Xenopus tropicalis: one gene and its partner. The protein of the gene in region 1 interacts with the protein of each later gene in a biochemical or structural test. Links are inferred from orthologs where the notes say so. Each region holds a gene or a part of one and is shown in the gene's direction. Other genes may lie near its edges. The genes, in order: amfr and herpud1.

What was found.
Region 2: of the proteins of amfr (region 1) and herpud1, one has a biochemical effect on the other in vitro, tested with the Homo sapiens proteins (6 studies listed by BioGRID and IntAct, with this or other methods). The link is inferred for Xenopus tropicalis from reciprocal best matches to the Homo sapiens genes AMFR and HERPUD1.

The regions. Positions count from the first base shown.
Region 1 is NC_030680.2:51,704,562-51,708,383, reverse strand, and holds part of amfr (E3 ubiquitin-protein ligase AMFR), read left to right. Parts: intron 1-290; coding exon 291-331; intron 332-1,765; coding exon 1,766-1,898; intron 1,899-2,143; coding exon 2,144-2,277; intron 2,278-3,265; coding exon 3,266-3,376; intron 3,377-3,804; coding exon 3,805-3,822. UniProt on the Homo sapiens protein: E3 ubiquitin-protein ligase that mediates the polyubiquitination of lysine and cysteine residues on target proteins, such as CD3D, CYP3A4, CFTR, INSIG1, SOAT2/ACAT2 and APOB for proteasomal degradation.
Region 2 is NC_030680.2:51,565,915-51,570,387, reverse strand, and holds the start of herpud1 (homocysteine-responsive endoplasmic reticulum-resident ubiquitin-like domain member 1 protein), read left to right. Parts: upstream 1-1,464; 5' UTR 1,465-1,556; coding exon 1,557-1,691; intron 1,692-3,491; coding exon 3,492-3,569; intron 3,570-3,686; coding exon 3,687-3,740; intron 3,741-4,473. UniProt on the Homo sapiens protein: Component of the endoplasmic reticulum quality control (ERQC) system also called ER-associated degradation (ERAD) involved in ubiquitin-dependent degradation of misfolded endoplasmic reticulum proteins.

The DNA.
Region 1 (3,822 bases):
TAAGAAATAAATATAAACCCAAATGGAATACTCACAGAGATTCATTCAAGCACTAAATAAAAATTCTTTAAAATCCTGGAAACTTCTGAGGTTCTCTACTTGTTTCATGTGGTATGTTACACATCCTCAGGAGGTATCACCTATTTTAGGTGATGGTTGGACAGGTACGCATTTTAACTGTAGAAATAATATTTTTATTTTATGCTGTTGCTGGACACTTAAGAGAATTGTGATCTAAAAGCTGCTGATTATCTGTGCACATTAAAAATGAATTACTTTTATTCCTGTAGTGCATGTTGGTGACAACAAGAACCACTCATGTTGTGCTACGGTAAGCCCTAAAACTATTATTGTGTTATTTTTTTTTATTTTTTTTTAAATGAAAGTATGTACAATAGTGTTAAAACCAAAACATATCAAATAAGTATATTATCTTACAGCAATAGCTCGTGCTTTTACTGCAAGAGTTGTTTTGTGCTAAAATGTAGCCTTTGATGTGATGTAGAAAAACTGTGTAACTGAAGTTGAGGTATTGCATTGTTGATCCAGGAGAGTTTTGCTTGCAGAGGTCTGTCTGTCACTGTTCCTTGTGCATCAGCCAGGGCGGCAGGCAGAGACCGGTGTTATGAATGCTGATGTTCTCCATCTGAGGCAGTAATGGTCTGCATGATCTGAGGGTCCTGTGAGCTGACGTGATCAAAATCACCTTGCCACTTGGAAGCCATACCCTCAGTCATGTGAACAAGAAACGTGCTGTTAGTAGCCGGCAGTTGTGAAACTATTTAGGATTGCTTAGGAATGTTGTAAAGCCTGTCTCCCATAGACTCCATTTTAATCAAATCATTTAGATTTTTAAAATTGATTTTGATTTCCTTTTTCTAATAATAAAACAGAAGCTTGTATTTGATCGCAACTAAGATATCATTAATCCTTATTGGATGCAAACAATCCTATTGGGTTTAATCAATCTTTTATTGATTTTTTTTTAGTAGACTTAAGATATGGAGATCCAAATTATGGAAAGATCCATTATCCGGAATACCCTTGATCCCAAGCATTCTGGATAACGGGTCCTATAGCTGTAATTCTAAACTGAGAAATTTAGGTAGCAGGTAAAGGTTTTTTGCAATATAAATGCAGAGTGGGACACACAAGACCCATACAAATATAAGTGTTGTGTGGTAGAAATGTTTAATGTGTGGGCAGAGGGTGGATAACATTGCAAGTTGCTGCAAGCCAGTTCAGGAAACCTATAATAAAATTTTATAGTGCCTGTCTCCCATGGGACACAAACATTATTGATGAATAAGATACTTTTTAATTTACTCAGAAAGCCCAGGTGCGTGTATATGTTTTGAGATTGATTTTAAATACATTTAAGGAAGATGATTTTTGGATTGCAGATGACCGTTTTATATAGTGCAAATAGATTTTATTGCGATGGAGAAGATTGGAGGTAGCGATTGGGGATATGAGAAATTAGGAGTTTTTTCAGATAATTAGGGCCTTAATTATAAGAAGGCAGATTTTAAAAAGAATCCATTTCCAATCCATTTAATTGGAAGCCAGTGCATGAAACAAAGTATAAGAGACACATTTATCAGGTGTTCTGGGCATGAGCATTTTTCTGTTTGATTTGCATTACAATAATTCTGTTTGACCTGTAAACTGAGGGCCATATTGTCTTCAACACTTGTACTTTTATCAGTGCCAATTTATACTAGCTAGGTAACTTTCTATTGTTTCATAATATGGGTTCTTGCAGCTATGTCATTCACCTTTGGGACCTAAACCACGAAGGAACATGGGAGGGCAAAGGGACTTATGTATACTACACAGATTTTGTGATGGAGCTCAGCCATCTGTCCATAGACCTAATGCATCATATTCACATGTTGGTATGTAATGCCATTTTTTACATTTTCTGTCTTTCCTGTCCTTTGCCTTTTAACTTTTCTTTCTCTCTTGTGCTGTATCTGTTTTGTTTTTTCCCTTTTCCCTTGTAGCCCTTTTCTACATTGTTTTTAACTCTTTACATCTCTTAATGTTCTGACTCTCTTCTCACCCTCTAGCTAGCTCCTAATCTTTATTTAAGCACTATGGATTTATCAAAATTTAACAACTTTTATTCGTGCTTTTTCAGCTTTTTGGTAATATCTGGCTGTCCATGGCAAGTCTTGTCATCTTCATGCAGCTCCGCCACCTCTTTCATGAATTTCAGCGCCGAATACGACGCCACAAAAACTACTTACGAGTTGTTGGAAACATGGAAGCTCAGTGAGTGTTCATGACTGAAGGTTCAGAGGTTAAGATAACAGCAGCTATGTTAAATGTTGCATGTGTGTCCCTTTTCAATGTTTGACTTGACATGATATAGAATGTGTGTGAGTATTGATATTGTGTTGTAAAATGTTAGTTTGAGGCCAGAGAATAGCTTATGTAGTATGTTTACATAGGAACACTAAGGCTTTTACAGCTCATGCATGTAATATAATGGGTCACAAAAGAGTGAATGCAAAGTAAAACATTGTGTGTATATTTGTATCTACTGTCTATTTAAAAAAAAAAACAAAAAACAAACAAACTAGACAATAACCCTTAACTGTCAGCTACGTAAAATGTATTGCTGGCAAAACATAGGCATGCCAGCAACATAGTTCTAAAAAAAAATATGATTTCAAAAGAAAATATATTTTGAACACATTGTCACTTTCTTTTTAAAGGGGACATTGTGCAATGAATTGTACTCCGCTAAATAGAAGGAATGTGCTTTAAAAAGTAGTGTTTTGGGCTGATTTATTGAAAGTTTCTCCAAAAATCCTACTAGTCCCACCCATCTGTTCCACTTCCTGCTGCTTCCTTTCCCAGGCTGTGCAGGGGGTATAGCAGCACTCGGCACACTGCACTGTAGGATAGAAACCACTCAGCAGTTAGACTGAACTGATAGGGAACTGAAGCCTGTCTTTGCTTGTGTGACTTCAGGGCTATGATTGGCTATGCCCCTCCTTTTGTGCTTCTGGCAAGGACTGTTAGGACCTCATTTGAAGCTCGGACAGGGACCTGAGAGGATCTAAAGGAAGCTCCAATAAAGGGGCTATTTTTACAGATAGTATTAATTTTTAGACCAAAGTGAAACCAGTGCCATATATTATTCATAACTGCCTACAAGATTAGAGTTTTTTCTTTTATGCTTTAATGTATGTGAATGTCTATTGTAAGACGATACAAGTAGAAGGAATGCTGCTATATATTTTTTGTCTTGAAGTTTTGCTGTAGCAACTCCTGAGGAACTTGAAGCTAACAGCGATGACTGCGCTATCTGCTGGGATTCAATGCAGTCTGCTCGGAAGCTTCCCTGCGGTCATCTTTTCCACAAGTAGGTAACTGTGGGTGATATCTGCTTTAACCAAAAATTTAGAAGTGTGGACAGAGGATGCAACTGGCAATAGACATATGCAGAAAATGTTAGTGTTAAAATGTAATTCTTCAAATCCTATGGGCATATTTTTGTAGTTTAAAATAATTTTGGTACTAATAGTTTACTGTATATGTAGTGTATACAGTTGTGAACGTGCACTGTTATTTTACAGTGGACCAGAGCTGGTGTAATCAGTAAGGCAGAGGAGAATTTCCTGAATAAAGAGCAGAGTGAAATGTGCCTCTTTTTAAAGAGTACTACTAAATGTGGGGTTAAAAAAGATCTTTAAATAAGATTTTCTTGCTGGCAGAACCAAATAAACCACAGCAGAAGTGTGAGGCAGAATTTTAAAACTGACTGTGTATCCTACTTACTTTTTGTCTTAGCTCATGCCTCCGATCCTG
Region 2 (4,473 bases), about 140 kb from region 1:
ATACAAAACACAGAGTTTAGTATTTACTCAGACCAGAAAAAAAATATATGGACAGCAGCCAGTCTTCCAATAAAATAATATCTTCATTTGCTCATCTTAAAAACTTCAGAGCCTTAAAGGAACAGTAACAAAAAAAATTAGAGTGTATAAAAGTAATTCCAATATAATGTAATGCTGCCCTGCACTGGTACAGCTGGTGTGTTTGCCTCAGAAACACTGCTATAGTTTATACAGAATGCTGCTGTGTAGCCAAGGGGGAAGTCATTCAAGGAGAAAAGGCACAAGCACATAGCAGATAACACATAAAACACTATTGTATTCTACAGAGGTTATTTGTTATCTGCAATGTAACCTGTGCCTTTTCTCCTTATTTCCAGCTTGAATGGCTGCCCCCGTGGCTGCACAGCAGCTTATTTATATAAACTATAGTGGTGTTACTGTAGCAAACACACAACTTTTACCAGTGCGGGGCAAAACTACACTGAGTTTAGTATTTACTCAGAATATTATTTGGGCCTTGTTTGAATCTCAAGTGTCCAGAATATTATTTAACATGGCTTTTTCATAATGACGCAGGTCTTCTAGGGTTGCCACCTTTTCTGGAAAAAATACTTTCTTTCCTATGTTGTTTTTTTCTATTTACAGAATTGGCATTAAGCAGCAACACCAGGCAGGAGGCAACCCTAAGGCCCTCTCATGCTTTTTTTCCTATGGACTTTCAGTGTAGCTGTGGCATGTCACCCAGAACATCAAGCCTTATGCATCAACATAAGTTGAAATCATTTGGATTCAATACTAATGATAATTACATTCTAGCTTTATGGTGCCTTCTGGATAGGTTTGGCCTTCTGAGACTTCACTGATGTTTTTATTGTCATGTAAACAATATCAAAAAGGGAACTTTATTTGAATAAAACTGTACAACCCTTATTTTATAGTTAAGCATCACACTTTACTAAACTACAAAGATATATTTTTAATGCCCTGCCGTTTTTACAGCAAATACATGCCAAGCACTACTAGTCTACTGTAGTAGATTCCCTTTTAATTTAGAAATCTATATAATACCCTTAGCAACAACGTTTGGCCAAGTCTCCTATTTTCTGCATATTTTAACAAGATAGTGGTCTAAAGCCAGTAAGCATTTAATTTACTATAATACAAAATTCTGTATGCCTTTTTAAATCGTGCGCAAATTGGCATTTCAGGGTCTATCGCTTCTCACCCGCCGCCATTTATTGTGCCTCAGTCACAACATGGCCGACAACTCCGCTATCCAGAGAGCTGTAGCAAACTAGACATTCCAAACCAAACCACCAGGATTGCATCAGACTGACTCCACCCCCAGTTACTGCTCGAAGTTAATTCGCACACGTAGTACCATGAGACCCTAATTTGGCCAATCAGAAGCAGCCACACGTTGTTTGGCAACAAGCGCTTTGGACTATAAAGGAATCTGCTCTGACGCGGCGAGCTCACTGTAGATAGAACTGGTTAGAGGGTTGTGGGAAGTTGGTTGAGAGGGGCACCGGAAGTGGCGTGTCAGTGCTACAGTCATGTCGGACGGAGAAGTAACTTTGCTTATACGCAGTCCCAGCCTCAGGCAGGAGGAAAGAGAGATCAGTGCACCTCGAAATTGTACTGTACGTGAACTGAAAACACAACTAAGGCAAGAACTACCAGGGGAGCCGGTAAGAATCGTCCGACAGACGTGTAACCTAAGCCACTCCCACCCAAATATATGCGATGTGTTTGGATCTGAGTCTGTTTACTGGCAATTCCATTTGTCCTTTCAGCAGGGTTTGACACTAGTGCCGTTGTTGGTGAGATTGTTGCTCAGTATAAATTGCGTAATATTGTTCAGCCTTGGTTAAAGCGTCAGAATCAGGGCCTCGTTGTAATTCCATTTTATGGCTCCGGGTCCCGTCACGGGTGTAATAATTTGTGCCACGTCCGATTTAAAAAAAAAAATCTAACTCTTTAGGTTGTCGGTATTGACTGGGCTGTTGCGACCGTCTGCCTACTGTACCAATATGGCTGCTCTTGCCAATAACATCGCAAGATTAAAGCAGGGCTTTGTCCCTTAATACATCGTCATTATTAGTTTTTCTACGCCAGAGAGATCTGTAGTCTTTAGTGCCCGCTTTGAGGCAGGCAAAGTGATATATAATCATATAATACTTCAATGGTGACATGGGGCAAATGGCATTCCTGTGTCTGTTGTCCCTATGTAACATCTATAAAGGCAGGGAAAGATTTGTGATGTATATACCATTGTCTCTTAATTAGCACTAGTGAGTGCTGCTAACCCTCATTTGGTCTGACCTGATATTTTATGGTATAGAGCTGTAACTGAGCTGCCTGCAGCCCTTGGACTGTCACTGTATAACTCCCAGCATTCCATGAAAGCTTAAAGAAGGGAGTTGCCAATAGGAGCTTGAGGGGTGTTTTGGTATCCTTGGAATGCTGACATTGCTATCTGAACTGTTGTTGAAGGTTGCTGTTGATTTACAAGTCGATTTTCTGACTTTTAAAAGTAGGTATGCAGTTTTTTCAATTCTGAGAAATGGTAGGCAATTAAAGTGTTTGTGTCGGCTACACTAACAATGTTATAAAGTTTGGTGACTGGTCAGCTGCTGATTTTCTTACTATATATGCTTATTTCAGTAATTATAGATTATGCATTATATAACAGTTATGATCAAATTAGACTTTCATGGGATGTCATGTTTTTTTTTTGTGATTGCGGCTTGGAACATGGTCTTGTTTTTCTGACATGGTATCTTTAATTCCTCTTACAGTAGTTTTGTCAACAGTCTATCATTAAAACCATATTCTGTCACTGTGGGCACATATTCTAACTATGCATGTATCTATATTATTCTAATTTTGGGGGTAGTATTAATCAACTCTTATTGTGGTAGTAACAAGAAGTCTGGCAGAAGTTGTGGTGATTTGTATTTGCACTGTAGCAGAAGCACTATAGAACACAATTTGCAACCACTAGGACTGCTACGTGTTGTCATTTGAATAAGTGATGGTAAGCACCTTCCTTTCCTCTAATTCAGAGTGCTTCTCTGAGAACATTAGTGATTCATGGTCATTTTCTGGTGGTTTTACATTTTTATACTGAATACCAGAAGTGCATAAATAGACATTTGGGGTCTGATCTAAAGAGAGCTGGTGAGCTGAGAACCTGCTATTGGCAGTCTAAAACTGTAAAAGGACAAGGAGCATTATAATCATTTGGGGTACCAAAATGTTAACCAACCCCCAATAATTGTACTTGCCTACCTGAGAACCCAGGCCAATGCTCTTGCTTGCTGAAAGCTACCCCGTCCTGGGTGCTAAGATAGAAGTGACATGTCACCATCTTCTAAATCTCTGGCAATGGCTTGGGATTTAATAGCTTAAAGTTATCATAGAGTATGCTAGTTAGGCCTCTGGATTCTGCGAGTAGATCCTCAACTCTTATGTCTGTTTGTTTTTAGATGGAACAAGATCAGAGATTGATCTATGCTGGGAAGTTGCTTCCTGATCACCTAAAACTGAATGAAGTTCTTTCTATGGTAAATATTCTGTAGTTCACCTTCTAATTTTTTCCCCCTACAGAAAATGTTAATCTGAAGCTGTGCTTTGATAGAATGATTGTTGAAAGCTGTGTTTATTTTTATTTTTTTTTACAGGAGAGCAGACATGTACTGCACCTTGTTTGTTCCAAAAGGATCCCATTAAATCAGGTACCTTACTTTGATAACATATGATTTTTATTCCTTATGGCAGGGTCAGCGATTTCTGAAATCAGTGATGGGCAGTATATGACCAGGCTTCATATGCTTTGTCACTCTATTGTATACATATGAAGCATTGCCTTCTGTTGTAACATTGGCTAAAGGCCATACATGTTAAGATCCACTCACTTGGTGAGGGCACCAAGCGAACGGATCTTCTCCCGATATCCCCACCTATGGGTGGGGGATATCGGGCAAATGTAGGCTAATTTGATTAAATTATAACAGCGGCAGTGGGCGCATTTGGTTCGGGGACTGCATCAATGAGCCGATGCGGTCCCGATCTGACTAAATCTTTTAACCTGCCCGTCGTTCCTGCCCATACACGGGCCAATAAGCTGCCGAATCGGTCTAAGGGACCAATATCGGAAGCTACAATCGGCCCGTGTATGGCCACCTTAACAGTTTTCCACTGTTGCTGTTATGCAACAAAAGTAATTAGCCAATTACCTTCCATTAATATCATTCCATATATCTCCACATCACCAGGCTTCGGTGCCTAAAAAATGATGTCACATTTTTTTCCTAGAGCATCAAATTCAGGCGGCATAAAATAGAACACACCATGATAAATTTGCCATTTGTTTTGCACATCTTTTCAAGCTATATTTTTGGTGAATTTCATTTTACACAGCATAAAAATATAGGACCCTCTGTGTTAAAGGAAAAGCGAAAAGCGAAG